Cricetulus griseus: one gene and its partners. The protein of the gene in region 7 interacts with the protein of the main gene of each other region in a biochemical or structural test. Links are inferred from orthologs where the notes say so. Each region holds a gene or a part of one and is shown on either strand. Other genes may lie near its edges.

Evidence for each region.
Region 1: the proteins of Src (region 7) and Dok1 form a complex in vitro, tested with the Homo sapiens proteins (2 studies listed by BioGRID, with this or other methods). The link is inferred for Cricetulus griseus from reciprocal best matches to the Homo sapiens genes SRC and DOK1.
Region 2: the proteins of Src (region 7) and Ldb3 interact in a test that uses a peptide from one of them, tested with the Homo sapiens proteins (2 studies listed by IntAct, with this or other methods). The link is inferred for Cricetulus griseus from reciprocal best matches to the Homo sapiens genes SRC and LDB3.
Region 3: the proteins of Src (region 7) and Muc1 form a complex in vitro, tested with the Homo sapiens proteins (2 studies listed by BioGRID, with this or other methods). The link is inferred for Cricetulus griseus from reciprocal best matches to the Homo sapiens genes SRC and MUC1.
Region 4: the proteins of Src (region 7) and Khdrbs1 form a complex in vitro, tested with the Homo sapiens proteins (8 studies listed by BioGRID, with this or other methods). The link is inferred for Cricetulus griseus from reciprocal best matches to the Homo sapiens genes SRC and KHDRBS1.
Region 5: the proteins of Src (region 7) and Kit form a complex in vitro, tested with the Homo sapiens proteins (3 studies listed by BioGRID and IntAct, with this or other methods). The link is inferred for Cricetulus griseus from reciprocal best matches to the Homo sapiens genes SRC and KIT.
Region 6: of the proteins of Src (region 7) and Shc1, one has a biochemical effect on the other in vitro, tested with the Homo sapiens proteins (4 studies listed by BioGRID and IntAct, with this or other methods). The link is inferred for Cricetulus griseus from reciprocal best matches to the Homo sapiens genes SRC and SHC1.

What each region holds. Positions count from the first base shown.
Region 1 is NC_048601.1:74,204,847-74,208,774, forward strand, and holds Dok1 (docking protein 1), read right to left. Parts: upstream 2,801-3,928; 5' UTR 2,724-2,800; coding exon 2,664-2,723; intron 2,350-2,663; coding exon 2,056-2,349; intron 1,879-2,055; coding exon 1,785-1,878; intron 1,666-1,784; coding exon 1,481-1,665; intron 1,312-1,480; coding exon 502-1,311; 3' UTR 200-501; downstream 1-199. UniProt on the Homo sapiens protein: DOK proteins are enzymatically inert adaptor or scaffolding proteins. They provide a docking platform for the assembly of multimolecular signaling complexes. DOK1 appears to be a negative regulator of the insulin signaling pathway.
Region 2 is NW_023276807.1:184,830,238-184,833,737, forward strand, and holds part of Ldb3 (LIM domain-binding protein 3), read left to right. Parts: coding exon 1-351; intron 352-1,735; coding exon 1,736-1,916; intron 1,917-2,445; coding exon 2,446-2,566; intron 2,567-3,500. UniProt on the Homo sapiens protein: May function as an adapter in striated muscle to couple protein kinase C-mediated signaling via its LIM domains to the cytoskeleton.
Region 3 is NW_023276806.1:65,326,002-65,330,222, reverse strand, and holds the start of Muc1 (mucin-1), read left to right. Parts: upstream 1-1,421; 5' UTR 1,422-2,683; coding exon 2,684-2,741; intron 2,742-3,352; coding exon 3,353-4,221. Other genes in the region: Thbs3 (thrombospondin-3), read left to right, coding at 36-94. UniProt on the Homo sapiens protein: The alpha subunit has cell adhesive properties. Can act both as an adhesion and an anti-adhesion protein. May provide a protective layer on epithelial cells against bacterial and enzyme attack.
Region 4 is NC_048595.1:23,279,753-23,283,784, forward strand, and holds the start of Khdrbs1 (KH domain-containing, RNA-binding, signal transduction-associated protein 1), read left to right. Parts: upstream 1-1,232; 5' UTR 1,233-1,382; coding exon 1,383-1,764; intron 1,765-4,032. UniProt on the Homo sapiens protein: Recruited and tyrosine phosphorylated by several receptor systems, for example the T-cell, leptin and insulin receptors. Once phosphorylated, functions as an adapter protein in signal transduction cascades by binding to SH2 and SH3 domain-containing proteins.
Region 5 is NW_023276807.1:142,126,586-142,130,085, forward strand, and holds part of Kit (mast/stem cell growth factor receptor Kit), read left to right. Parts: intron 1-453; coding exon 454-647; intron 648-2,089; coding exon 2,090-2,196; intron 2,197-2,288; coding exon 2,289-2,415; intron 2,416-2,690; coding exon 2,691-2,795; intron 2,796-2,894; coding exon 2,895-3,005; intron 3,006-3,500. UniProt on the Homo sapiens protein: Tyrosine-protein kinase that acts as a cell-surface receptor for the cytokine KITLG/SCF and plays an essential role in the regulation of cell survival and proliferation, hematopoiesis, stem cell maintenance, gametogenesis, mast cell development, migration and function, and in melanogenesis.
Region 6 is NW_023276806.1:65,125,204-65,129,212, forward strand, and holds the start of Shc1 (SHC-transforming protein 1), read right to left. Parts: upstream 2,801-4,009; 5' UTR 2,392-2,800; coding exon 1,897-2,391; intron 1,350-1,896; coding exon 1,279-1,349; intron 815-1,278; coding exon 751-814; intron 637-750; coding exon 517-636; intron 39-516; coding exon 1-38. UniProt on the Homo sapiens protein: Signaling adapter that couples activated growth factor receptors to signaling pathways. Participates in a signaling cascade initiated by activated KIT and KITLG/SCF.
Region 7 is NC_048599.1:22,117,671-22,121,626, reverse strand, and holds the start of Src (proto-oncogene tyrosine-protein kinase Src), read left to right. Parts: upstream 1-1,156; 5' UTR 1,157-1,390; intron 1,391-2,147; exon of another isoform or gene 2,148-2,277; intron 2,278-3,956. UniProt on the Homo sapiens protein: Non-receptor protein tyrosine kinase which is activated following engagement of many different classes of cellular receptors including immune response receptors, integrins and other adhesion receptors, receptor protein tyrosine kinases, G protein-coupled receptors as well as cytokine receptors.

The DNA of each region.
Region 1 (3,928 bases), on a different chromosome or scaffold from region 7:
GACAGCTGACCCAGGGTCACAGAGCTATAGACCTTCCCAGGTGAGCCTGTGACCACCCAGGCCCTGAGCCACCACACTGTAGACTTTCCTCTCTGGGGCCCTTTCCTCCTTCCTTGGTCCCCAACATATCTCTGGTTTTTCTTTTGATCCCCTCACGCCCTCCCAGGACATGCCGCCACTGTGTCTATTCACACACAGAGACTTTTTCAAACCAAACTGGCTTTAATGAAATTTGTCTTATAAATTAAAAATACATCTAGCAAAGAACAATACAAAAGTAAGGAGCCACACTGGCCTCCCCAAAGTGCCTCCACTCTGACTAGTAGGCCCCTTCCATAGGTCTAGTCCCAGAGCCTATATCACTCAGTTCTCGAGCTGGTCATCCCTTGATGCCTCTGGTCCCCTAGTCTTAACCTAGGCACCTCCCACCCTCTGGTTCCTGCTGGTTATAACAGATTTGATTGTCAATGCCACGGCCCCATGAAACTATCAGCAACTGTCTCAGGTGGAGCCCTCTGACTTGACTCCTGTCCTGTCATTCCCTACTCTAGAAAACCCACAGTCCCAACCCCCTGACGTCCCACTCTTCTGGACCTGGCTGTACAGAGCCATATCTGAGCTGTGGTCTTTGCTGCCACTGCCTCCTGTGGTACCAGGTTCAGGAAGGACCAAGCCCTGCGGCTTGGGAGCAGGGACAGGCTTGGAGTTTCGCGGAGGTGGCACAGCATAGTCATCTGTAGCAGGGTTGTATGGGAGCTCATAGCCCTCCTCCTTCAGCCGAGCCTGGCACCACCATGCATCCTTAGGTTCCTGCGGCAGATCATAAAGGCCCCGGGGAGGGGCTGGGGCCAGGCCCTCGGGTTCATCATAGATGGGGTCCTCTTTGGAGTCTGTCAGCTTGGCTTTCAGCAACCGCTGCTGCACGTGCCCATACAAGTCCCAATAGAGAGGTTTCTTCGAATGCATCCCCTCCCCTGCCCTAGCAGGGGTGCTACCCAGAGGGTCTGAGTACAGAGAGTCCTGAGAAGGGCCTGGGGGAATTCGCAAGGAGTCTAAAGGCTCAGCATATAGGGCTGGGGGGCTGTCCAGGGGCTCCTGAGGAGCAGGAGGGGAAGTCACCTTCACCTCTGCCTCCCCTTCATGGGACTCAGTTCTGAGGATATCTTGTGCCTGTCCCACCTTTCCCTGGGCTTTCTGCTTCTGGATGGCAGCCTCAACTGCCTGAAAGATGTCATTTCCCTGTGTAGTCTGGAAAGTGAAGGTTCCGGCGCCTGAGGGGCAGCGGCGACCAGCTTCAAAAGAGAACATTACCTGAGGGTGTGGAGGGAAACATGTTAGGAGTGTCATAAAAGATGAGTCACAGATCTTACCAAGTTAGTGTATCTGAGGAGAAGAGACCACCTGGGAATGGAATTGATCATCTACAGCTAGCCAACCCGAAGTCCTCCCTGACAGTCATCCTCCCAGACAGCCCCTGCACCTTGTCCCGGCCATAGCGTCGCAACAGAGTGTAGGGCCAGAAAAGGAGTGGCTCCAGGATTTGACTCTGGGTCCCCAAAGTCAGGAGGGTCAGCTTCTCAGCCTCCACCCTCAGTATATAGGAGCCTTGCAGGCCACAGCGTTCAGAAGCCTCAGTCTTCTGCGTGGTTACCCAGAACTGGGAGCCTGGAAGGAACACACAGAAAGGGGAAGGAGCGCTGGGGCAGGTTAGGGACTTGGTAGCCTCCAATCGCTAGCTCCCAAGACCACGTCTTCTCCCCACTCCATTCATGCCAGGCAGCTACCTTCCCAGGTGGGGCTATACAGGGAATTCTCCAGCATCTCCAAGGCAGAAAACTTAGGCGGGTTCTCCGTCTGCGCCAAAGCCCAGCCGCCTTTCTGCAGGAAAAGGAACACATATATATATATATATAAAAAGCCAAGCTGACAGACTCCAAATATATATATATATTTCCCTTGGGTCTGGAGTAGGTGCAGGAGGTCCAGTGCCGCTCTAATAAGCCCCATTCTCGTAATGCTCCTTAGGCCCAGGGCCGCTCACCCCCAACCCCTCACCGGAAAAGCGTTTCTGCATAAACTCTGCACCCAGGCGGCGCTGGACGGGGCGTCCGCCGCCAGCAGGTGCGAGCGCTGCGCGGTGTCCAGGCGGAAGGCAGTGGCGCCGGGTTCGGGGGGACTCTCCACTGACACAGGGGCCACGCTCACACACTCAGCCAAGCGGATCATCTTGCAGTCCAGACGGCGAGAGCCGCCTCGACCCCCTCCAGAGCCCTTGTGGTCAAAGAACTCCAGACGCGCTACGCCGTGAGGACTAGCTGGGTAGAGCACAGCCCAGGTTTTCCTCCACCTCTGGGGGAAAAAATGAAAGACGCGGGAGTTCGCGGCAGCACGCCCCCACGGGGAAGGAGAAACACACGCAGGCCGATCTGAGTCTGGGGCTTCCCAGGCAGGGACACTTTCCCAAAGATAATGCCATCATCCCAACTCCTCCCCAAGAAGGGCACAGCGTGGGGCTTCAAGGGAACTTCATGGGGCTCTGCAATTGCCGGAGCAGCGTCCCGACCTGCTTCCGGCCCCTTTCCTCTTTCTGGCTGCTTTCACCCACTTCTAGTCCGGAGGGGTTTCGCCATCCCCCACGCCGCACACAAACCCACTCACACTACCTTGGTCCCGAAGCGCTGACTCTGTAGAAAGAGCGGACCCTCCATCACAGCCCCGTCCATGGCCCCGGCGGTTCCTTCCCAGCTTCCTGGCCCCGAGGGCGGGGGGCGGGGCGGGGCGGGGCTGCAGGGTGCCGGAGGCGTGCCCGCCCCTCCTGGGCCCCTGCGGCAACGATGGGGGATGGAGGAAGAGGAGCCAGCAGGAAGAAGTCGGGGTACCCAGATAAGCCGACTGGGGCCTTTTATCCTACCGTTCGTTCGCACAGTGGTGCCACTCAGGGAAGCCGTGATTGTCAACTAGAAGGCCCTGGTGCCTGGGAGGTGGGGGGCTGAGAGTGGCGTCATATGCTTAGCGTGACATCAGAGTGAAGGCCGTGACGTCTCCCGCAGGCACCCCGGGGGCACTACAACCACCAAGGGGGGTCCTCGGGACATTAATTCCTCTTGTGGGACCTGCTCCCATGGCCCAATCCTGGAGTTGAACTGGACTGTTGATACTCTGCCTAACTGGGGATGTGGAGGAACAACTAGAGGCTGGCAAGTTTCCCGCCGCCGCAGGGGCCGATCACGAAACCGTTTACAAGTCCAGCATCCTGACAGCGGCTACCCGGCCTCCAACCTGCGGGAAAAGAAAGCTTCATTGAGCCGGCAGAAGGGCGGGGTAGTGGGGGGGGGGGCTGGGGGGGGACGGCTGCAGCAGCTCCACGGGGGAGGGAAGATCTAGAGGAAGGGGACTGGCCTGGCTTGGAATGGAGGGAGAAAGTGGAATGTGGGAGGCTCTAGGGGACGTGGGAGGGACCAACGAAGAGGGGGGAGGAAGGGGGGGTCCAGTCTCCCCTGGCCGAAGAATTTTTTTTTTTTTTTTTTTTTTTGGGAAGTCCTAAAACTAATCTCCAGGACCAGGACTCCGCTTCCAGCCTCTGGAGCTCTGCCTAGGCGAAGAAGGTAGGGGAGTCACTGCCGGCCAAGAGAAAGAGGAGTTGGGGATGGAGAGGATGGTGGACCAGAGGGAAAGTTGATTTGGGATGGAGTCGGGGAAGCCAACCAACTGACAGTTACATTATTGCTAAAGGAGCGGAAACACGAGAGTGGAGAGCTGAGCAGATAGTGGGGATGGAAGCTTCAGGGCGCAGTTGGGAGGCCCTAACCCGAACACCAGGGCTTCCAAGCCAAATGCCCCCAGAACAAAGCTGTCTTGTCTGAGTTAGGGGAAGCAATTCTGGGGGCCCCCTTGCTGTGGAGGGCTGTTTTCAGGCTTGGGTAGAGAA
Region 2 (3,500 bases), on a different chromosome or scaffold from region 7:
ACCCACCTATACCCCCTCACCTGCACCCACCTATACCCCTTCCCCTGCGCCAGCTTATACCCCCTCACCTGCCCCAAACTATAACCCTGCGCCATCGGCAGCCTACAGTGGGGGCCCTGCAGAGTCCACCAGCCGCCCACCCTGGGTGACCGATGACAGCTTCTCTCAGAAGTTTGCTCCTGGAAAGAGCACTACCTCTGTCAGTAAGCAGACCCTGCCCCGGGGGGCTCCAGCCTACAACCCAACAGGTCCACAGGTAACCCCTCTTGCCAGGGGCACCTTCCAGAGAGCTGAGCGCTTCCCAGCTAGCAGCCGGACTCCCCTCTGTGGCCACTGCAACAATGTCATCAGGTACAGGCTTCGGTATGGGAGGGGTAGCAGATGGGAGGACAGATACAGGCAAAAGGCCAGCCCCACAGGGCAGCCTCAGGTCTCTCTGGCTCAACTCTATGAGCTTTAACTTCCATACCTGTGTGACACCCACATCCCTGGGGAATCGGGAGGATTCCATGAGGTAAGTGGGTGAAGCTCCCAGCTTGGTGCCTGGTGCCAGGAGCTCCCCCTTGGGCTAAGGCTGGGTTCTGGGAATCTTCAGCCTTGTTGTCAGTAGGTTTATTGAAAGCTAGGTGACAGTGCTGGTTTTGACCCAGCTTTCCTATAGAGTTGCTTCTGGATCTTTCTACAGACAGTCCCATGCCTCTTATGGCTCTGATAGACACTTCACTGAAATTAAAGCAAGTAATGCCCCTTAGAAGTCAGGGGTCTCAGACCATGCTTGTTAAATGCAGTATGTCTGTGTATATATGTGGTATGTGCTTCCATATGTGAAAATCTTTAAGAAACAAGCAGAGGCCAGGTATGGTGGTGCACACCTTTGGTCCCCAGCACTAGGAAGGCAGAAGAAAGCGTGTCTCTGTAAGTTCAAAGTTAGGTACTTCTAAAAGCTAGTTCCAGGACAGCCAGGGCTAGAAAGTAAGATCCTGTCCCCAAAACAGAAACAAAATGAGGAGATAAGAATTAGAAAATACAGAACTGAAAAAAATTAGAACATGAGGTTTTCTGATAGTTCCAGTGTTCTGAATACCAATCAAAACTGAACCATCATGTTTGTAGTCTACTGCTTCCTGGCCCTATGACCTTGAATGAGTTCCTTGGCCTTCCCATGTCTCTGTGTTCTTTACTGATAATTAGGCATCATAATAGTTCCTCCTTCAAAGAATTGTTATGAGGATTAAATATATTAACAAATGTAAGTTTATTCTTGAAGGGTATCTAGCACGCAATAATTTAATAAAGGTTAGACACCATCATCATTGCTCTCAGAATAACCTGTGAAAAACTGAACTATGTGATTTTTACTCAGTCCTCTGTGGTAGATACTTAGATTGCTTCCAGGTTCTGTTTGTTAGGTTTTGAAATGTGTGTTCCTTTATGACAGAATCTCACTATGTAGCCCTGGCTATCCTGGAACTTACTGTGTAGACTTGAACTTAGAGATCTGCCTGCCAAGTGCTGGTGTGCATCCCCATGCCGCATTGTCTGGTTCTATTTATTGTTACTGACATGACAATAGACATCTTTCTGCATGGAGCTTCCTCAGAATTACATGTTATTTCATTAGAACAATCCTCAAAGTGGACATTACTCAGCAAATGTATGAATATTGTTGGGGGTTCTTAAAATATCTGGTTCTAATTTCTGGGGCTCATTTTAATGCTCTTCTCTGCCATGCCAGGGGCCCTTTTCTGGTAGCCATGGGCCGCTCTTGGCATCCAGAAGAGTTCAATTGTGCCTACTGCAAGAACTCCCTAGCAGATGTATGCTTCGTGGAGGAGCAAAACAATGTTTACTGTGAACGGTGCTACGAGCAGTTTTTTGCCCCGCTCTGTGCCAAGTGCAACACCAAGATCATGGGGGTAAGTGGGCAGCATCCCTCTCCTTTGACCCTTGTCTTTTCTTCAACTGGACTGACTTGCTCCCTTCCCCTTGCTCCCTTCCCCTAAGATTCTGTGATCCTATTAGAAACACTATCAACAAGTGGCTGATAACAGAGAAAACAAGTCCATTTCCATCCTAGAATGGAATTGGTTTGCCATTAACTACTGAACCAGGGAACTAATTAACTTAGGCAAGCAATGATATACACATATGCCACCAGCTTCGAATAGTGCTGGGGTTCTGAAAAGCAAGTTCTTGCTTCACAGCCTGACCTCACCGCTCATCTGCCTGTGGCCCTGACTCTCAGTGTCCTTTTGGCAAAGTGGCCCTAATAAGCAGGACCTCCCTTCTCCACCCTCCCCTGCCTTCCCCAGCATCTGCTTTGTGAAGCCCTTCTGCACCGTTCCTTAGGCTACTTGGACAGCAGCCAGACCTGGTGCAGAAGCCAAGTCTAGCTCCCTTTCTCCTGGGAAACTTTCTGTCCTGAACTCAGAGTCTTTCCTCCAGGAAGTGATGCATGCTCTGAGACAGACATGGCATACGACCTGCTTCGTCTGCGCAGCCTGCAAGAAACCCTTTGGAAACAGCCTCTTCCACATGGAGGATGGAGAGCCATACTGCGAGAAAGGTAGGCCTGTGAGACATGGTACAGATAGGATGCAATATGACACCATGCTGGAAGACCCTGTACCATGTCCCACCTGGGTTGACAGGCAGGCATAGAAAACCAAGTCGTGCCTCTGTCCACTCACATCCTACTGTAAGCGGGAAGACAGGGTCTTCTGTGTTTTCTTTCCTATGTGGTACTGTGAATCAAACTCAGGGCCTCACATAAGCTCCTGACTTTGCTTTTAATGGCTGAATCATGCTATTATACATTAGCTGAACTATTTCCCCTGCTCATTTGGTTCTAGCTTTTGGAGAAAAGGAGTGAGAATTACAATGCATTTATATACCAGTCTCTGCTCCCTTCCATGTTTCTAACATTTGAGTCACACATTGTTCCATAAACCTCTCAGGCTATGTTGACATGGAAACCTGGGTCTAGTGTGAAAAGGGCCTTGGCTCTAGATGTCATCCTAGGTTCTATTCCTGGCTCCACCCTGAGATGGCTTTGTAACCCTGAGTAAAGCTGCTAAACACATGCCTGGTAGAGCTGATTTGAGGATGGAAGCAGGGCAGGGCCAAGGCATGGGATGCTCAGTGCCCTTCCCTTCCTATGGTGGTGCTTTTCAGGCTTCCTTCAATATCTCTGTACCTTGAAGTGTAATATGCTATTGTAACATGTGGGGAGTTGAGGAGTCACAGACTAGCTGGCCTTTTAGCCCTGCCCCCTTCCTTCACAGCCTGCTTTTCTCAGGAAGCGTTCTGCCTAATAAGGGGAGCATAGACTTGAAGGCTAACACAGCAGCACCAGAAAATCAGATGAGGAAAAACAGGGATATCTATAGTAGGATCTGATGTCCTCACATTAAGTTGTACATGCAGACAGAACTCTCATATACATTAAATAAATACATCTTTAAAACATAGTATTAGTCATGTCTGTGCTATCAATTTTT
Region 3 (4,221 bases), on a different chromosome or scaffold from region 7:
CTCACCCACTGATGTGACTTATCTCCCCTCTTCAGACACAGTGCCTGAGGACTTTGAGCCATTCCGGAGGCAACTGCTCCAGGGAAGGGTGTGAGGTGCCGCCACCAGATTCAGAACCCTGACTGGAGACCTTTGACCTTGGACTCTGTTCTGGAGACCTTGGGGTCTAATCTACAGCTCCTCAGCCTAACTGATGGTTCTCTGGCACCCATCAGGGAGCGCAGCTCCAGAGGGGTGGTGACCCCATTGTGCAGGGGTTGGGGGACCTTCAAGGGGTATATTACTCAGGTACGAACCCCAGGAAAGACATCATCAGCACATTGCCATAAAGTTTCAGCTATTTTCTAAGTCAGTGCAATCACTTATTTTAGGCCTTTTCTAGGACAATAAGGAGCCCGAGGGGTTAGAAAGGCTGGTAGCGCAGGTTAGAGAGCCAGGGAAAGTTTGACTGAGTTGGGGTGTGGGTGGGAAAAGTACCAAATGAAGGATGAGGTTGGAAGATGGGCTAAAGTCCTTCCAGCCCCACTTACTCACCGTGGCGGCGGCGACCCTTCTAAGCTCCGCAGTGATCGAAAGCCCAGGGCTGGGGCTCCCCCGCTCTGGGTGAGGGGGCGCCGGGGGGGCCGAGGGGGCCGGAGGCCGGGACGAGTGCAATATTGGCGGGGGAAAGAACAACACTGCACCGCGTCCCGTCCCTCCCGCCCGCCCGGGGCCCCGGAATCCCGCTCCCTACCACCTGGGCCTTTGGAACCCAGGGACTGGGGGCGCTCTGGAGAGTTGGGGTCACTTTAGAGTTACACCAGAGCCTGGGTGCCCGAAGGGTGAAAGGGGGGGCGAAAGGGTGAAGAGAGAAGGGGAACCCCCCCCCCCATGCCCTGGAAGGCCACTTTGCAACGTCGAAGCAGTGCGCGCGCTTGCTCTTTAAATACTCAGACTGAGAGGCGCGGAGCTATTGTCATGGTGACTGGTATCCCAGCAACCAAATTGACTGGCTGTTGCCTGGCAATCCCAGGAGTTGGGGTTTGGGGCCCGCCTACCTAAATTCTTGTGGGCGCGCTGACGTAGGGCGTCCTCACTCCGCCCAGGGCCGGCCTCACAAAATCGCTCAGAGGCGCGATACACGGCGGGAGCGTGGGTCCCACGCCCCCATTTACGCACCTCCGAAAAGTTTCTAAAGTATCAGCTTCTGTTTTGTACTCGTTGGGACTAAGAATTGTTGGCCTACTACAGTTGTAACTGCAAACCTACGCCTGCAGGATCTGGCCTGGTACTCTGAGTCCACATGCTGCTGTGAGCCCAAAGCCCTCCCCGTCCCCAACTGTCCCTGCCCTTCAGAATACCTCTCGGTTCTCCCTAAATGCACGCGCACACACACACACACACACACACACACACACACACACACACACACACACACACACACACACGGGTTTGCCCTGCACCGCGTGGCGTGCCTGTCTGCTCCAAATATCGTTCCTCTCCCTAACACAGCTCTGAGCTCCCAAATTTCATGGTCGCCCCTTCTATTCTCTGCCTCCTAAATACCTAGCTGCCTGAACATAACCTGTCCCACTCCCCCTCCCACAATCCGAAGTCCTTATCGCTAAACTTGTTGCCCCCACCACATACCTTAGGTGCCCCCCTCCCCGCACACTTAGCCTCTCCCCCGCCCCCCAGACATCTGAGTAACCCAAGCACTGATCCTTGCTCCTCCACCGCACTGTGCATTCCTTCCTACCTATTCTAGGCGTTGACTCTTTTCGTCAAGGCCCAACCAACTTCCCTAAGATCTCGGTCTCAACTTGGGGTGTGCTGTCAAAACTCCCCACAGGGTCTCAACTCCTCGGCCACTCGGCCCGTGCGGGTTGGCCGCGCGATGCTCCCGGTGACCACTAGAGGGCAGGCGTTCCCGGCCAGAAGGACCGGCCAGCCTGCCACTCAAGGTGGAGAGTTGGGTAGGAACGACCTTAGGCTTCGGTAGAGCCCCAGTTTCGTCCTTTTTAAGTGGAAATTTCCCCCCACCGCCTTTCTCAGGAGCAAGCCAAACAGGGACCCAGGCTACTGGAAAGCCTGGCAGGGGCGGAGACTGTGGTTTTCAGAGTACAGGGAGCGGTTAGAAGGGTGGAGCTATTCCGGGAAGTGATGGGGGGAGGGAGCCTGAAACTAGCGACTTGTCCATTATTATCCAGCCCCCTTGTGTCCTCTCAACTTATGGAAAGCCGTTTTTAAGGATCCGCAGAGAGAATAGGAAACGGGATTGGGGAACCTAGGGATGGGTTTCCCTGGGCTAGTTGTCCAGGGCCTTTCTGTGCTCCGTTTCCCCATCTTGACCATTGCTCTGGGGCTAAAACCAGAGCCAGGGGGCCCCAGGTCTCCTCCACAAACACACCTGGGGAAGTCAAGGAGAGCTTGGTAAAAGGGGGGAAGCCAACTGGAGAATAAACAAGTAGTCATAAGATTGAGTGATTGGAGCCCAAGTACCCTACACAGGAATGGTTGGGGAGGAGGAGGAAAAGATAGGGGAGGGGGCGGAGTTTTGTCACCTGTCACCTGCTCTGGCTGTGCCTAGGGCGGGAGGGGTACTGGTATAAAGCAGCGGGCACCAGAGCTGCTCCACCGCACACACGCCACAGCTCCTGCCTTGAGTCTGTTTCTGCCCTCTTCCCGCCTCTTCACCACCACCATGACCCCAGGCATCCGGGCTCCTTTCTTCCTGACGCTCCTTCTAGTGCTTGTAACAGGTGAGAGGCATGAGGTTGGGGTGGAGGTGCGTTGTTCAGGTGGGACTCCTCACCGTTCTTTTGCTTGCTGTTAGATGGCATAAAGGATAGACAAAGATGACCCAGTTATGTGCCAGAATGAAAGAGGCTAAGGACACAGGCTGAGAAGATGTGACCCCCAAGAGAGTAGGCACCGTAGGAGGCAAATGCTCTGATGTTTGTGGAGGTGGGTTGTGTCAGGAGAGACAATGGTAGTGGGAGAATGGGGCCATGTGCCGCGGTTAGGTTAGGGCCAGCTTGCAGTATGAATCCTTGTCTCAAAAATAAGTAGTGGAGGAATGAATTAGCCAGAAGCAGGGTTGAGTCTTTTAGGGAGGGAGAGATTAGCCAGGGAGGTTGTCAGCAAGGAAGAAGGCAAACAGGGACTGCCTGACGCCAACCTTATACCCCTTCTGGGGTTACTTTGGTTTTGGAGTTTATATTTTTCTCCTTCCTCTGATTTTATTCACCAACCCAGTAGTTTTTACAATTTCTAAATCATGCAGGTTATCCAAAGCAACCTAGTATCCATCTCTGTTGAGAGGTGTGTGAGCATAAAAATGGTCTACTCCCCACCTTCAACTCTGGTTCAGGCTTTCTTGCCCTTCCAGATCAAAACAGTGTCGTCTTATCTCTGGACACCAACAGTTCCCCAACCTTGAATACCACTCCAGTCCACAGTGGTTCTTCAGCCCCAGCCACCAGCTCTGTAGTGGACTCGGCCACCACTCCAGTCCACAGTGGTTCTTCAGCCCCAGCCACCAGCTCTGCAGTGGACTCAGCCACCACTCCAGTCCACAGTGGTTCCTCTGCCCCAGCCACCAGCCCTGCAGTGGACTCGGCCACCACTCCAGTCCACAGTGGTTCCTCTGCCCCAACCACCAGCTCTGCAGTGGACTCAACCACCACTCCAGTCCACAATAGTTCTTCAGCCCCAGCCACCAGCCCTGCAGTGGACTCAACCACCACTCCAGTCCACAGTGGTTCCTCTGCCCCAGCCACCAGCTCTGCAGTGGACTCAACCACCACTCCAGTCCACAATAGTTCTTCAGCCCCAACCACCAGCCCTGCAGTAGACTCAACCACCGCTCCAGTCCACAATAGTTCTTCAGCCCCAGCCACCAGCCCTGCAGTGGACTCAACCACCACTCCAGTCCACAATAGTTCTTCAGCCCCAGCCACCAGCTCTGCAGTGGACTCGGCCACCACTCCAGTCCACAATGGCTCCTTGGTCCCAACTACCAGCTCTGCGCTGGAATCAGCTACCAGTTCAGCCCACAGTGGTGCCTCTTCTATGACTAATAGTTCTGAACCAGACTTGGAGACCACTCCAGTTTACAGTGGCACCTCTATCTCTACTACCAAGGCTACTTTAGCCTCTGCCATCACCCCAGTCTACAATGGCTCCTTGGTGCCAACTACCAGCTCTGTGTTGGGCTCAGCCACCACTCCGATCAGTAAT
Region 4 (4,032 bases), on a different chromosome or scaffold from region 7:
AGGACCAGCATTCATACCAGCAGTAGGAGCACAAGAGAACTATACAGCCAACACGGATTAAGGACTGGGCCTGTGGTCACCTTTTTACAGAATAAAACAGAAGGCAACAAAATGTATAAGCTAAAGGGCCTCAGTCTCACCATTGCTAGGACCACAGGTGTGCCATCTCCCTAATCTATCTAAAATGTTTCTTGGTTTGTTTTGGGGGACTAAGCGTCCATTAGATACCCTAAGTCGCCAGGAGCTCCTAATGGAGATCAGACTTGTCTCAAACTTTCGTTAAGTCTCCTGAGTTTCTCCCTCCTCAGCGCAGGTGTACACTACAATGGTGCATCTTAATCCGCCCTCCTCCATGGGGGGGGGGGGAAGACACATTGAATGCCACTGAGTGTAGAGGTCAGAGGACAACTTGTGAGAGCCGGTTTTCTCCTCCCACCATTTAGGGCCTGGGGATAGAACTCAGGAGACAAGCAGAGTTACCTGCTGATCCGACCCCAGATGCGTCTTTCCACAAGAATTCTCTCGCCAATTTTGAGCCTGCTATAATGGAAAGCTTAGTATCCGACTTCTTGGATGCCCTGTTTGGGTCTGGAGCCCCTTTCTCCCGGCCTTTGCGTCTCTGATCGACCCTTCTGAGTTGCACACTGGCAATAAGTGGCTTTTAGTCTTCTATCTCTCCCTCCAGGCTTCCCTTTCCACACCCAACGCTTACTCCTCGGGTCAGCCTCTCCCAGCGCTCCCAGCGTCCCATCCCGTTGGGGCAGTCTTTCCCTCTCTTCCGGCCTCACACTGCTCTAACCCTCCTCTTCCCCTCTCCGGGTCCCCAGAAGCGTTCTTTCCATTTCCTGGCTGGAGGGACGGCACCAGATGCTCCTCAGAAGCACATCTCTCTAGGGACCTTGCGAGGCTCGGCCGTTGGAGGAGGCGTGGCCCTCGAATAAGTCCTCCGCTGCCCCACTCTCGGCGGGCCCGCGCGCAGACAAAGACATTCCAGAGCCCCCGCCCCCTCCGCCTGAGTGGGGGGGGGAGACACGTGAACCGCTAGCACCGAGTCACGTGGAAAACAAAAAAAAAGAAACGAACGAAGGAGGCTGGCGCCCGCGCAGGCGCGATAGACCCGAAGCCCGAGCGGGGAGACGACGTCTTTAGTCGGCGCAGGCGCCGTGGCCAGACTGGGGACTTTGTTCTCCGCGGAGAAACTCAAGGGCGGTGCCGGTAGACGTCTGCGCACGCGCGCCGCCTCATTTCCGGTGCTCTCTCGCTGGGTCGCTCGGGTCGGCTTCGGTCGCTGTCGCTCCCGCTCTTCCACCCCCGCCAACCGCCGCTCGGGCCTCGGCTGCCGCCGCGTCGCTTCCTCGCTCGCTCGCCACACATCCTCCCCGATGCAGCGCCGGGACGACCCTGCCGCGCGCCTGACTCGGTCCTCGGGCCGCAGCGGCTCCATGGACCCCTCAGGTGTCCACCCCTCGGTGCGTCAGACCCCGACTCGGCCGTCACCGCTGCCTCACCGGTCCCGGGGAGGCGGAGGTGGGCCCAGAGGGGGCGTCCGGGCCTCGCCCGCCACGCAGCCGCCGCCGCTGCTGCCTCCCTCGGCCACGGGTCCCGACGCGACTGTGGTCGGATCGGCGCCGACCCCGCTGCTGCCCCCGTCAGCCACAGCCGCGGCCAAGATGGAGCCGGAGAATAAGTACCTGCCCGAACTCATGGCTGAGAAGGACTCCCTCGACCCGTCTTTCACTCACGCCATGCAGCTGTTGTCCGTAGGTAAGCGGGTCTTGGCGCACCCTCGGCTTTCCCGGTCCTGGCGGTGGGTGGCCGCCGCTTTGTTCCTCTTGCTCCCGCCCCCTCGGAGCCCGGGCATCGGGAGTTCCCTTCTCGACCCTGGCCTTCAAGATCCTGGACCCACAAGTCCCACCCCTGCTCAGGGTGTGAGGGGAGATTTCTGAGCCTCGGAGGAGTCTCCGTGCGTGCGCGCAGAGCTTGATGGATAGTACTGTGCTCCCGCCCCCCTTCCCGACCCTGTCTCCTCCTCTAGTAGTTGCCCCGCGCGCCGACGACCAGATCTTTCCAGAAATGAACCTTCTTTGCCCCGCTTTCCCAAAGGGGGGAGGGGAATTTGCCTTTTGATCGCGCGTGGTGGAGAGCGCCTTGACCCGGGGTGTAGGGAGGAAAGACGGTCGGAACCGGGAGGGAGGCAGGGCCGGGATGCCGGGCCGGCGCCGGCGCCGTCACCGTCTACCGAGCCGTGCGGGATTTAGCGGGAACTCGGATTTAAGTTACTCAGAGGCTGGAGCGACGAGAGAACCGGAGCTTGAGATTTTTCTCGAGTTCAGTTTTCCACATCGGCCTGTCGAATAAGAATTGCTGCAGACCCGGACGGTTTTTCTCCTTTATTTTAAAATGTGTCTTGACAATCACGCAGAAGTAGAGCGAGTAACTAAGGAGACTCTGGGAAGAAATGATAAAGGGAGGTAAGGGACTGCAGGTTCTTTATCGTGAGATGAACGAGAGAAATTGGTCTTGTTTTAGTTTGGGCTTGAGAAGAGATAGTTTAGGAAAGGTAGCCTTTGTTCTTTGCTTGCAGACGGCGAGCTCTCTTGACTTCATGACTTAGTTTTCTTATTCAGACCATCTGCTTGACCCTCATTTATAGTTAAGGCATGGTTTTTAATAAGTATTTCTTACGACATCTAAATATTATTTAGCATATAAAACCCTTAGTCCGTCTCACTAAATGAGTAGTTGGACTCTGGCCAAAATGATACCGTGGACAGTTCATTGTGAAAATACCATTATCTGATGGAGAGAGATGGAACAGCGGTTAAGAGCACTTTCTGCTCTTCCACAGGGGTTCGGTTCCCAGCACCCACATCACGTGGCTCACAAACACTTGTAAAATTAGCACCAGGGGAGGGGGATCAGATACTCTTTTTGAACTACAGGCACTCAGGTACGAATCTGAAGTGAAATAAAGGGAAAATACCATTTTCCTCCATTTGTTCTCTGTTTCCTAGGATTGGTGAAGGGACTTTACTATTTTTGCAATAAAAAAGAAGATTTAAGGATGTGATTTTCTTTACAGACAGGTATGAAAACAGCAATTAAGGGTTTTGTTTTGTTTTGTTTTGGTTTTGGTTTTTCAAGACAGGGTTTCTCTGTGGCTTTGGAGGCTGTCCTGGAACTAGCTCTTGTAGACCAGGCTGGTCTCGAACTCACAGAGATCCACCTGCCTCTGCCTCCCGAGTGCTGGGATTAAAGGCGTGCGCCACCAACGTCTGGCTAAATTAAGGGTCTTACAAGTGCAGTAAAACAAAAAGCTGGGTCAGTAAATACAAACGTTTAGATCAGTTGGTTGCATTTCAACTTAGTGCCCCTATTCTGCTCTTTGTTGGTTTTTCCAGATAAGGTTTCTCTGTGTTTTCCTGGCTGGCCTGGAACTTGCTGTGTACACCAAGCTGACCTCAAACTCACAGAGATTGGCTTGCCTCTGCCTCCCAAATGCTGGGATTAAAGATGTGTGTCACCACTGCCTGGCTAGGTTCTTATGTTTCATGACAAGTTACTTACTGGTAAGAATTTTCTTTTTTTTTTCTTTTTTAAGGTCTCAAGTAACTGAGACTGGTTGGCGCTCACTTTCTAACCAAGGATGATTTGAACTTATGTTCCTTCTGCCTCTATTTCCAGAGTTTGGGAGGTATGAAGTGCCTAGGATAAAACTCAGAACTTTATGCACGATAGGCACTCTACACATTCAGGCCATCTTTCATTTTATTTATTTATTTATTTTCATACTGGCTTGCAAATAACAAACACCAGTGTTTGGTTGACTGAGAACAAGTGCCTGCAAGAAAATCACTATGATTAAGGTCGACTTAGTATTCTTATTTTTAGTTCCTCAAATCTTTATAACCTGACAGGTTAATTGCTGGAGAATTAAGTGGTTTTAAGAAGTTAACTTTGGAAACTGATCCTTAACTAGCTAATCTTGAGAAATTTACTCAAATGCTGGGTTTGAGGACTAAGTTATATGTA
Region 5 (3,500 bases), on a different chromosome or scaffold from region 7:
TCCTGCAATTTCCTCTTCTACACACTTTATCTTCAACCATCACTCATGCTTTCCAGATTTGTTTCTAAAAGTCTGTGGTACAGTGGCGTTTAGTGCCAGCAGCCATTTGAGTCCATTCCTTTCACCTACCCTTGAGATGGTACAGCCACAGAAACCTAGCAGTGAAGAGTTGACAGAACCTGGCAAAAGTCACCAGGTCGGGCACTTGGAGTCAGGGCACAGGTCCATGTCCAACCTCTAAACCATTGCTCCCTTTCTGGTTTCCTTCAGTACTTTCCTCACTTAGAGGTCCCCAGGGGGCTCATTCTCCTTGGGCCATCCTGACCTGATGGCTGGGAAAGGGAGTTTTTATTGAGCCTGAGTTTCTAGTCATACAAATGTGCCAGATCAAAGTGTCACATGCTTTTATTTGGTTTCCTGGTATAAGCCCACACTGTCGATCTCTTATTGTAGGTGTGCCGTTCCCGTCCCACCAGTGGATGTACAGATCCAGAACGCTTCTGTGTCACCATTTGGAAAACTAGTGGTTCAGAGTTCCATAGACTCCAGTGTCTTGCGGCACAACGGCACAGTGGAGTGTAAGGCCTACAACGATGTGGGCAAGAGTTCCGCCTTCTTTAACTTTGCATTTAAAGGTAACAACAAAGGTATATTTCCTTTTGATCCAATTTAAGGGGATATTTAGGCTCTGTGTACCATACCATGATCTTAACTCCATTCCAATATTGGCCATAACATTTCTGGTAATGCCTACATCACACTGTGCTGTCATCAAACTCACAAACTCTCATTCCATACTAGTCTGCTGATGAAGTTTTGATTTTATCAATGTAATATTAGCCATTTTGCTTTACTTGTTCTCTTTGTGTTTGTCCGAGCTTCTCGACAAGTTACATGTGTGCAGTTATAGTTGAGTAAGGGAACCTTCCTTCATTCTACTCAAGTATAATTAGGAAACTTTAAAAAGTTTAAATTCACTGGATGTGGTGGGTGGTGCACAACCTTTAAGCCCAGCACTCAGGAGGCAGAGGCTGGTGGATCTCCATGAGTTTGAGGCCAGCCTGGTCTACAAAGCGAGTTCCAGGGCAGCCAGGGTTACACAGAGAAACCCTGTTTTGAGAAACATAAGTAAAAATAAATAAATAAATTCTATTTATGACTTTAGTTATTTAAGATGAGTTACATTTTCTTAAATATCTGTGTCAAAATATCTTGTCAGCCAATAGTTTTTCCCCAATTTTATTTGTGTGTGTGTTTGTACATGTGTGTGTAGACATGCTTGTGCACCTGCACTGTCAGAATCGTACAGAGCATGTGCATGCTATGTGGATGGCCTTCTGTGGGCTGTACTCCTTGTCCAGCCAGTTCTTTAGGTTCTGCTTCCTGAGTGACTAGCAGGCCACATGACCCTTGAAGGCACTGATGAATGGGCATATATGAGACAAGGAAACTGGGCATCTGAGTTTGCTTTTAGTGCCCAGTTTCTGTGGTGTCCAGCATTGGCCATAGGGCTCATGCCAAAAAGCTGCATGACCTCAGCCTTTGGATAAGGAAGAGCAGAGGCCTAACACTGCTCTCTGTATTGTTACTTTTCCCAGACAGAGCAATGAAAAGGACACCTCGAAAATGCCTTTCCTCTCTGCCAAAGGCATTGATGTTCAGGGTAGAAAGTATAAGAGAGCAGGAAGAAAATGCAAAGCACCCAGAAAGGAAGTTCATTCAGATGTTGCTTTTTACTGAAACAGCATAACATTATGTGTATGCTACAGAAAGTTCGTTTTCTTTGTAATCTGGTTTTAACTTACATCTCTGGAGATGCCTGCACGTCCAGTGAGGTGTGAGGTGTGAGTGTGGTGCAGTGTCAGAGCACTTACCCAAGTTTCATCCCTAGCACATAGTAAAATAAATAATAATAATAATAATAGTAATTAATAATGAAAGAAAGAGAGGAAGGAATGATGCGTTTGAATACCAAGAGTAAGATGTGTTCCCTGCATGCGCCATGAGAGAAGTTCAGTTTGGGACAGGTGGTGGTGGCCAGGCTGTTGTCCTGCAAACGGCTCACAATCACAATTCTCTTCCCTTGCAGAGCAAATCCAGCCCCACACCCTGTTCACACCACTGCTCATTGGTTTTGTGATCACAGCTGGCTTGATGGGCATTATTGTGATGGTTCTCGCCTACAAATATTTACAGGTGACTGTTGATTTCCTCCCTCTCCCCCGGATGCCGCAATGACCGAGGCTTTGATTGTTAAGCGGTGACATGTCTTTCCCTTTCTCCTCCAGAAACCCATGTATGAAGTACAATGGAAGGTTGTCGAGGAGATAAATGGAAACAATTATGTTTACATAGACCCAACACAACTTCCTTATGATCACAAATGGGAGTTTCCCAGAAACAGACTGAGTTTTGGTCAGTATGAAGCTGGGGCTTTCCACGTAGCTTTTTTTTGGTGTGTGTGTACACATAACAATGATTTTAAGGAACCTTCAGTGGCTTCCTTTGTCTTGTTTCACCTGAAACAAGAAGTGCCTTCTGTCAAATGTTACAAAAGTTGGCTGGGTTAGCAAAAGGAAGACTATAGTGAAGTTTCTCCAGACTCATTCTCCTTGAGTTGCCTTGTTGGTTTTGGAACCGTCACAATTGTCCACCGGGTCTTTCCGCTGACCTTGTCTTCCTTTCTAAAGGGAAGACGTTGGGTGCCGGTGCCTTCGGGAAGGTTGTTGAGGCCACTGCATATGGCTTGATTAAGTCAGATGCTGCCATGACGGTTGCTGTGAAGATGCTCAAACGTAAGTGTCCAGAGCGTCCACTACCTGCCCCCACCACCAGTTTGCCTTGTGGGTTTTTCTTTTCTTCATTTTGCTAAAATACATTGTTTTCCATTTTAGCAAGTGCCCATTTAACGGAAAGAGAGGCCCTCATGTCAGAACTGAAGGTCCTGAGCTACCTGGGCAATCACATGAATATCGTGAATCTCCTTGGAGCATGCACCGTGGGAGGTGAGTCTTGTGTCTACAGCACCTGTTGCTGTCTGTCGGGCTATCAAAATATGATTTGGACAGTGCTTAATTATAAGCTGTTTGGGAGTTGTTGTTGTTGTTTTTTCCAGTATTTTGTTCTGTTTTCCTTTCCTCAGCATTCCTAAGAATGTAGTTTTTTCGTTTTTTTGTTTCAGATTCCTGTCCTTTTGTTACTTTGAGATGAGGGCTATAGTTGCCACACTATGTTGTAGAAAATTGGGATTACTCCCCACAAGTGTGTTTTGGTGCCCATTACTCAGCCTCCCATTCCCCTCCCACTCGACAGTCCTAAGGACCTCTATCCAGCTCTCTGCAGATCAACATCTTAACTCCCACAAATGTGTGGCAACACGCAGGATGTTTCTTTGTATAGAGCCACTCACACCCTCCTTTGCTCATTATACATTGCATGCATGTATTGAATTATAATACCCTCCCCCTTTAACAGGTACAGGGATATAGCTTTTGGCTGTA
Region 6 (4,009 bases), on a different chromosome or scaffold from region 7:
GCGAACGAGATGGACTGCATGTGATGGTTGGCAATGATCTGATGCGGGCAGGGGATGGAGAAGGAAGGGAACAATCAAGGTCAGCAGCCTCAGGGTCCCGTGTACCCTCACCCCAGCTATGACCTTGGCACCCACTCTCATTCTCTCATGTGGGCAGGGGATGGAGAAGGAAGGGAGTGGTCAAGATCCCGCGTGTCCTCACCCCAGCTATGACCTTGGCGCCCAGTCTTTCTCTCGGCTTCTAATCCTACACTCTTCTAATTTTGTTCTATTTGGCGGGGGTGGGGGGAGTGGGGGGGTGTAACAGGGATGCAGGGTCTCACTGTATAGTTGGAACTCAAACACCTGCCTCTGCCTCTGGAGTACTGGGATTAAATTTGTCACTATACCCAAGCCCTCTAATTTCTTCCTTCTCTACTCTCCAGTTGCTCCTGAGGACTCCAGGTTTTTGGCCTCCAGATCCCCCCACCCCATCATCCCATAACTACCCCCGTCCCTTTCAGCAGCCCCACCCACCTGTTTGCAGTCGGCTGCCATGAGGTTAAGGCTGCTGGTAGACACAGTGAGAGTGATTGGCATTCCAGCAAACTTCAGGTTACTCCTCCCCAGGATAGAGCTGAGTGGGCGGCTACAGGGCTAGGAAAGGCCCCAAGTCTCAGAACCTGAGCACTGGCAACACCAGGAGACACTTCTGTCTCCTCCCCTTGTGCCTGCGGTTGCCTTCCCCCTGCCCACCACAACCACACATACCTTTCTCCTCCTTGTGGCTCCTTTGGCACCAGGCACGGCTTCACACACCAAACTGATGGCCTCCCTAGAGAAACAGGGGTACTCAGACCTACTCCTGGCCTCCCACTGCCTGGGGCTGCCACAAAGCTGGGGGAGGGGAAGAGCAGGCCAGATTCTCAGAGCACTCCAGGCTCTTTGTCGTGGTGGATTGAATTAAGGGCCTTTAATATTTGATGACACTGAGGGGCTGCTTCCTGGCTGATTGGGTTAGGGCCTCAATGGTTATAGCCCCACCTCTTCCCAGTTACCAAATTTGCCATTCCCTTCCCAAAAGCAGCCTTTTGTAATCCATCGTCCCACAGTCTCCCAGGCTGCGTGGGTAAGGTGGTGCTCCAGACCAGAGCTGGCTCTTTGCAGTCAGACACACTGGTGTAACTTTCAGGTCTCTTAGCCACCCCATGAGAAGTCACCATCAGCACCACCACCAAATGCCCACCTTTCCTCCTCCTCCATACAAGACTCCAACAATACACCTGCCTCTCCACTAACCTGGTGACCTGAGTCCGGGTATTGAAGTCAAGGGCTCGCATTGACTGCAGGACCTCCACACAACCCATGTACTGTGGGGGAAGGAGGCAAGGATGGATCAGCTGCCCCCTCCCCGCAATACCCCACCCTTTGCAGAAGGTTCTAGGACTGTGCCCTATGTAGTCCCTAAGGGAAGTAAAGGTAAAGTAGCCTTCCTACTTCCTGGGGCCACCACCCCATAGTGAAGAAGGGCCACCAAAGAGGACCTTCATGCACTGTGGAGAGATTGTGAGAGGAGTTGTAGGCACTGGGTGGGATGGAGTGACAGCTATGGAAAAGGGAGGAGTCTAGAGGGAAGAACCCAGAAGTCATTTTTCATTCAACACTTACTAAAAGCCTCTGATGTGCTTGACCATTGTGTAAGCTGGGGGTAGGGATCAAAGGAAAGGGGACCTAGGCAGAAGACTCCCAGGCTAGAACAGAAGGCATAGAACTGGAGAAGGGATGTGGCAGGCAGGGTTAAGAACTAGGGGAATGCCACAGATGTTGGGGGAAGAGCAGGAAGTCCCAGCAAATCTGGAGTGAGCAGAGGAACTGGATGGGGAATGGGAGGGGGCAGAAAGGAGGATGTACACTCACCCGAACCAAGTAGGAAACCCCAGGTCCCATGACTTTGTCGTTGGGATGCAGCCAGCCTCGTGTGGGCTTATTGACAAAGCTCCCGTGTCTGGTCCACTCCTCGCCCCCCAGCTGGCCCCCTTCTACCCGAGTCCTGCGCCCGCCGCCTCCACTCAGCTTGTTCATGTCCTGGAGGAGGGGCAAGAGGCCTGAGTCCCGAAGGGCTGCCCCTGCATTCCCTTCCCCATCTTCAGCAGCCTTTCCTGGCTCTCCCTTAGGCCCCAGGCGCCCCCCAGCAGGATTGGCCAGCTTCAGGTTGCTCATCCGGGGAAAGAAGGAACACAGAGTAGTCGGACTATCATCCCCCGGCAGAGGAGGCAGAATGGGTCCCAGGGATGAGGCTGACGGGGAAGGCAGCTCTTCTGTGGGGGTAGACCCTGAAGCCCCCTCCTCCAGCGATGACAGAGACTCATTTCGAAGTGGGTTGTACTTCGGCTTGGGGGGTAGAAGATCCATGGCTGGGGTGAGAAGGGGGGCTGCTGCCTGGCCCGGCCTGGCCCCCCTGCCAAATTCAGGCAAGGGGGCCAGGCAGGGGGCATCCCCAGGCCCTTAGCCTGGTCTGACCTCTGCAGCCTGGTGATAACAGAGGACCTAGGGAAGCGAAGGACAAGTGGCCTCTGCTCTCCCACGTCAGACCAAGACAGTTTCAGGCCACATCCTTGCCCAGCCCTGCGAGGAAGCCTCTTATGGCTGAGGAGTACAGGCTGGACCCAGAGCTGACTGGCTCCTCCCCAGGGGCGGGGAACCAAGGGGAGAGACCAATCCCAAGGACAATGCTGACTCACAGGCTCAGAGGGGCAGAGACACCTCCTCACACAATGTGTGCTAGCCAGGCCACTCTCCCTTACCCAATACAAACAACTAGGGTCTGTCTGGGGAGGATGAAGGTGCCAGGTAGGAGAGAAAGATGGAAGAATAAGAAAAAGAGGAAAGAAGGAAAGGAAGGAGTTAAGAGGAACTCTGGATTAATCCAAACTGACATGGGCTAGCCAAAGAGAGCAGGAAGCCCGGAAGGTTAGGAGGGATAAAGGAGGAAACAGAAGCTGCTGAGGGAGGAAAGGGGGGGGGGTGATCTAGAGTTTAGTATTTCTCTTACAGCCTAGACCATCCCCACCCCCCACCATACAGTAAGTGAGGTGGCAGCCCCAGGGAACCTGGGCCATTAGCATCCTCAGCCACAACAGCTGTGGACAAGAGCAAGGAACCAGGAAGAGAAAGTTGTCCCAGTGGGTGTAGATCGAGGCCAAGAGGGAAGCAAAGCTGAAACAGGAGGAATAAGGCCAATTTGGGCGGTGGTCTGGGAGCTACTAGGCAAGAGCTAGAGCAAGCCTGTCCCTTAGGCTTGTTACCTACCAAGGACCAATGGACTTCCTGGACCCCTTTCCAGAGGATGTAGAGACAATCAGGCTACCTTTAGACCTACAGACATATTTCTCTCCTTACAGGCTGTAAGGTCCACCCAACAGTGTCCCTCACACTAGTAGAGGAGTTGGCCTTGGAGGTCTGAAAATGAAACAAACAGAACTGGTGCCTACAAGCCACAAAGGGATAATAGGGCCATAAACAAATCAGTGTTAATAAAGACAGGAAGAAGAAAGGGATACCAGAGGTTGGGATCTGGCCATAAGTGCATAATAACACCAAGCCCATATTCCTTTGCCCACAGCTTCCTGCCACAGCTCTGCTAAAGGCCATCAGGAAGTTAAAGAAAGTGACCAATCAGCATTACTCCAGAATAAACTATCACTTATTTCCTTTAAAAAAAGAAAAAGGGGGGGGGGGAGAGGCAAATACAAGAAGTAAAAGGTAGTTTCTTTACAGGCTCACCTCCAAACTACCTTTAGGTTTAGTTTGGAGAATTAAAAACTGTATGATTGTGATTAACAATACCGGAACTTAAAACGGGTTAAATATCATTCTTCCGATTTTTCACCTGCCCTTAGTCCCCATCCCAGGAGAGCTGTTACTGAATATCGAACTTCTTCCTGAAAAGAAACTCTGTCATCCCGTCTACTAAGTAAGACCTCAGCTCTTAGAGGAGGAAAAATTCTGCCACAGCCATACACTTCCAAAC
Region 7 (3,956 bases):
TACTTTGAAGCTTTCCATCGTCTTAGGTTTGGAAACGCCCAATGTCCAGATCTTTCTGTTGAACTTCCAGCAATGGATGTAGTGATACGCTGGCAAATATTTAACAAGCAACTCTCTGGAAGAAAAAGCTAAGGTATGGTTTGTCAAATTTCTCCATTTCCAAGTAGAACATACTTCCTTGGAGGCCGATGCCAGGTGACCAGTCTGACATCACTGAATATGGCCCTGAGAAGGAGGACAGCGGTCCTAAGTGTTTGCAAGCCTCTGAGAACCAGCTCCAGCACCTTACAGGAAGAGTAGCCACCCTTCCCCCAGCCCAGTGTGGCCAGTGAAGGCCATTAGACAAGTCTTTGGCGGGGAAGAGGGCGGAGAAACCTGCTCCTCCAGCCAGGGCCTGCCCAAGGGAGTCCTGGGAAACTGCCGTTAAACTTTAAGCAAGTCTTGCAAACAGGAGTGGCTACTTTGCCTGCTGTTCATGAGGATCCTGAGCAGCCCCGTTCTCTCTTCTGGCTCAGTGGGCTACCCTGGCCACACTTGCACTCAGCAGTGCGGCCTTCAGATCCCAGTCCTGTCCACTCCTACCTACTTCACAACGGGAGGAGGCTGGAACAGGAAACTGATGACTGAACAAACCCTGAGGCACCTGGCCTAGATGTGAACTTAGATCAGCCTGACTCAAAGCTTTGCTCCTTCCTGGCCTGCTGGGACATACATTGTACCCTGAGGCTGGAGCCTCTTATGTTCTGGGAGGATGGGAACCTGCCCTTCAGGAGGGGTCTCCACCAGGAGAAAGCTCAGGCCTGGTGCCACATTAACCTGGTTGGGTCTCAGTTGGCCACCTGTGAGATGGGAGCACTTTCAAGGAAGGAGGATGGAGGCAGATGGTCGGATTCATCTTTCTAGAGGGGAACGGAGGAGTCAGAGGTGGACCCCCTCCCTGGCCCAAGGGGCAGCCCTAGAACCTGGACAGGGACTGGCGTTTGTGAGGGGTGGTCTTTGAGACCAACCTGAAACCACATCCCGCCCCCTTATCCCATTTTCCTTCTCTACTTCCTGTTTGGCTGATCCTGCTGTCCTCAGTGGCTGACTACCTGCATACTTCCCAGCAGATGTACGTGGTCTCTGCATGCGCTGAAAATGAATTTAGGGCTGGCCTGATGCTTGCAGTCCCTGCCCTCCATAGGCAGAAGCTGGAGCCTCCCACAAGTTCAAGGCCAGCCTGTGTCACATAGTGAGCCACTGTTTCGCCTCTTGATACATTTTAATAAAGCTGCCTCTCTCCTCCTCACTCTGCCCCTCTGGTCCCAGTCTCTGGTTAAAGACAATCAGGTCAAAGCTGGTGTGGCCAGTTGCCTCAGTTTCCGTGTCTGGAAGATAGTGCTAGCCATCGGTGCGTAGCTCAGGTAGCTAGGTTGGTCCGGGGCGAGAGGGCGCCCCCGCGGGTGGAGCTGCGGGGAGGGGGCTGGGTGCGGGAGGCGCGGGGCCCGGCTCGCACAGCAGGTCCCCCGGGTCGCCGGCGGGGCCCGGGTCCGCGCTTCCTTCTTTCTCCGGCTCGCATCGGCCGCGGCCCCTCCTCCCGCGCGCTCCCTCCCCCTCGCCGCTGCCGCCGCCGCCGCCGCCTCCTCCCTTTCTCTAGGTCTGTCTCTCCCGGCCCGGAATCCACCCGGCCGCCCCGCCGGAGCGGCCAGGCCGCCGCCCGCCAGCGCTGCGCGCCCCGCTGGGGTCCGCCCGGGCGCGTCCGGAGCCCGCGGCCGCGCCGCAGGTGAGCGCCCCCGCCCCGCCAGCCCCGCGCCCCGCTGCGGGCTCCCGCCCTGCCCACTCCCCGCCGCGGCCCGCGACCTGCCCGGCGCGGCCTTTTGTTGGGATGCGCGGGGGAGGCCGGGCGGGGCGCGGGGGGCACCGGCGCGTGGGGACCCTCGGCCGCAGAGTCCCCAGCCCGGCTAGGCCACATCTGAAAACCCGGCCGATCGGCGCCGCCCGCGATCGCGGCTGCGGGGCCCTGCGCCCCCGGCCCGGAGTGGGGGTTGGGGGTGGGGTGGGCGCTGGGGACTGGGCTCCCTGGTGGCCACGCGACCTCCTTGGGTCTCCGGGCCTCGGTTAGGGCCTGGTGCTGTTGGCCTGGCGGAGACTGGGCCACTCTGTCCTCCCCTCACCCCCGCCAGCCCCCAGCCTCGCCCCTCCTCGGGCCCAGCGACCTGCCGGCTCCGAAGTTGGCAAAAGTTTTGGTGTTTCAGTACCACTACTAGGTCCACTTGCCCACCCGGGCAGGTACTGGAGGTGAGTTTGTGTCCCCACTAGAACCACCACTTGTCATGCTGTGTGTCTTGGAGACAACTGCCTTAGCTCTCTGAGCCAAGGCCCTTCTCAGTGATGGGTAGACGGCCAGGACTGCTAGGCTGGTTGAAGAGTGGAGTGGACAGAGGGGACTTTTCCCTGGGTAACCCCTAAACCTCTAAGGTATTCAGAGGGAGAAAAGTGGACAGAGACGTGTGAGGCTTATGAGGCCCTAAACAAGGTCTTCCCTGACTCACAAACTGTGTGAGCAATGGTGATGGGTTCACCTGGGTGGAAGTCAGATTCAGTTTCCAAGGTGGGCATGGGGGCGGGGCGCGTGCGGGGGTGGGGCGGGGCGGGCGGGGATGGGGCTCTTTCCAGACTTTTGAGTCCAAGCATCAAAGTCTCTTGTTTTCCTGGGTGATCTGAGCTGGGGGCTGCTCCTTGGATCCTTCACAGCAGTGACAGGGTCCTCAGGTGATTACTCCCTGTGCTTCTGGCAGCTAAGGAGTTGGCATGCATGGGGTGGGGTGTCAATAAATGAGTTCCACCCTGGAGCCTGCACAAGATGACTGGGGTGCTTGTGGCACAGCTGCCTGCAGGAGAGGGTAACTGTGTCTCGAAGGGTGCCCTAGAGCCTCAATATCCGAGCACCCTCCTGTGGCCCACAGCTGTGTGAATATAGTCAGCTCTGGGTTCCTTTTGCCTCAGTCTTGTCAGAAAGGAATGATCAATCAGATTGTGAAGGCACTCAGTGGTAGAGCACAGGCTTCGCATGCCCAAGGCCCTGGTGCTAGCCTTGGCACTACAGGACGGACAGATAAATCAGGTGGAGCCATGATGATCAGAGCTGTTGAGGTTCACTGAACTCCTCCTGGGGCTAGCTCAGTCTGCAGCTGGAACTGGAACTTAGACTTCAGAGGAGCTGGCTGGCTGCCCTTTAACCTGCAGTGACAGTGAAGGCTGTATAGTTTGGGGTCAGGAACAAGGCATTGTTGGAAAAAGACTCCTCCCATATCACCCCCACCTGGCAGAGCCATAAGGCCCTGCTGGAGATGGGGTGTGTCCCGGTGAGGTGGCCTTTCCACAAGGGGAAGTGACTTATAGTGTGTCACCTCTCAGCTGACTGCTTGTATCCTGGGGTACACACTGAGAATGAGTGTTAGGGGCACGCCCCATCTCATGTTCATCCTTGTTCTTCCAGCCTTAGGGCAACCCTATCTCTCCCACCCAATCCTCTTCTGTTTCCTGTCGTGTCCCTTTCCCCAGCCCCCCACCAGCCTCCAGCTTATAGGCTGCCTCCTGCTTGGGCTTTTACCCCATTCTCATCTGACAGTAGGGGTGGGAATGGAGCATGTCTGGGTCCTCTAAGTCCCAGGATCTAAGGAGGACTGGCTAAATGGTTTTTGTCCCTGTTATCCACCTGGTCCTCGGCTGTCTTTGATCGTACATTGAGCACTTACTATGCACTAGGGCCTGTGAACTTTGTTGAGCAGCTTTGTGGTAGGAGGACGACAGCTTCCTGAAGGAGGAGCTTGAGCTGGAGCAAGCAGTGGCCAGCTAGCCAAGAGTGCAGCTGGACCAGTGTTCTTCCCCTCTGCTCAGAAGGTCATCTGCCTGGGGACTTGCTGGGAAATTGTGAACAGGTCCTTGGCTTCTAGAAACTGGAGTAAGGCGGATAA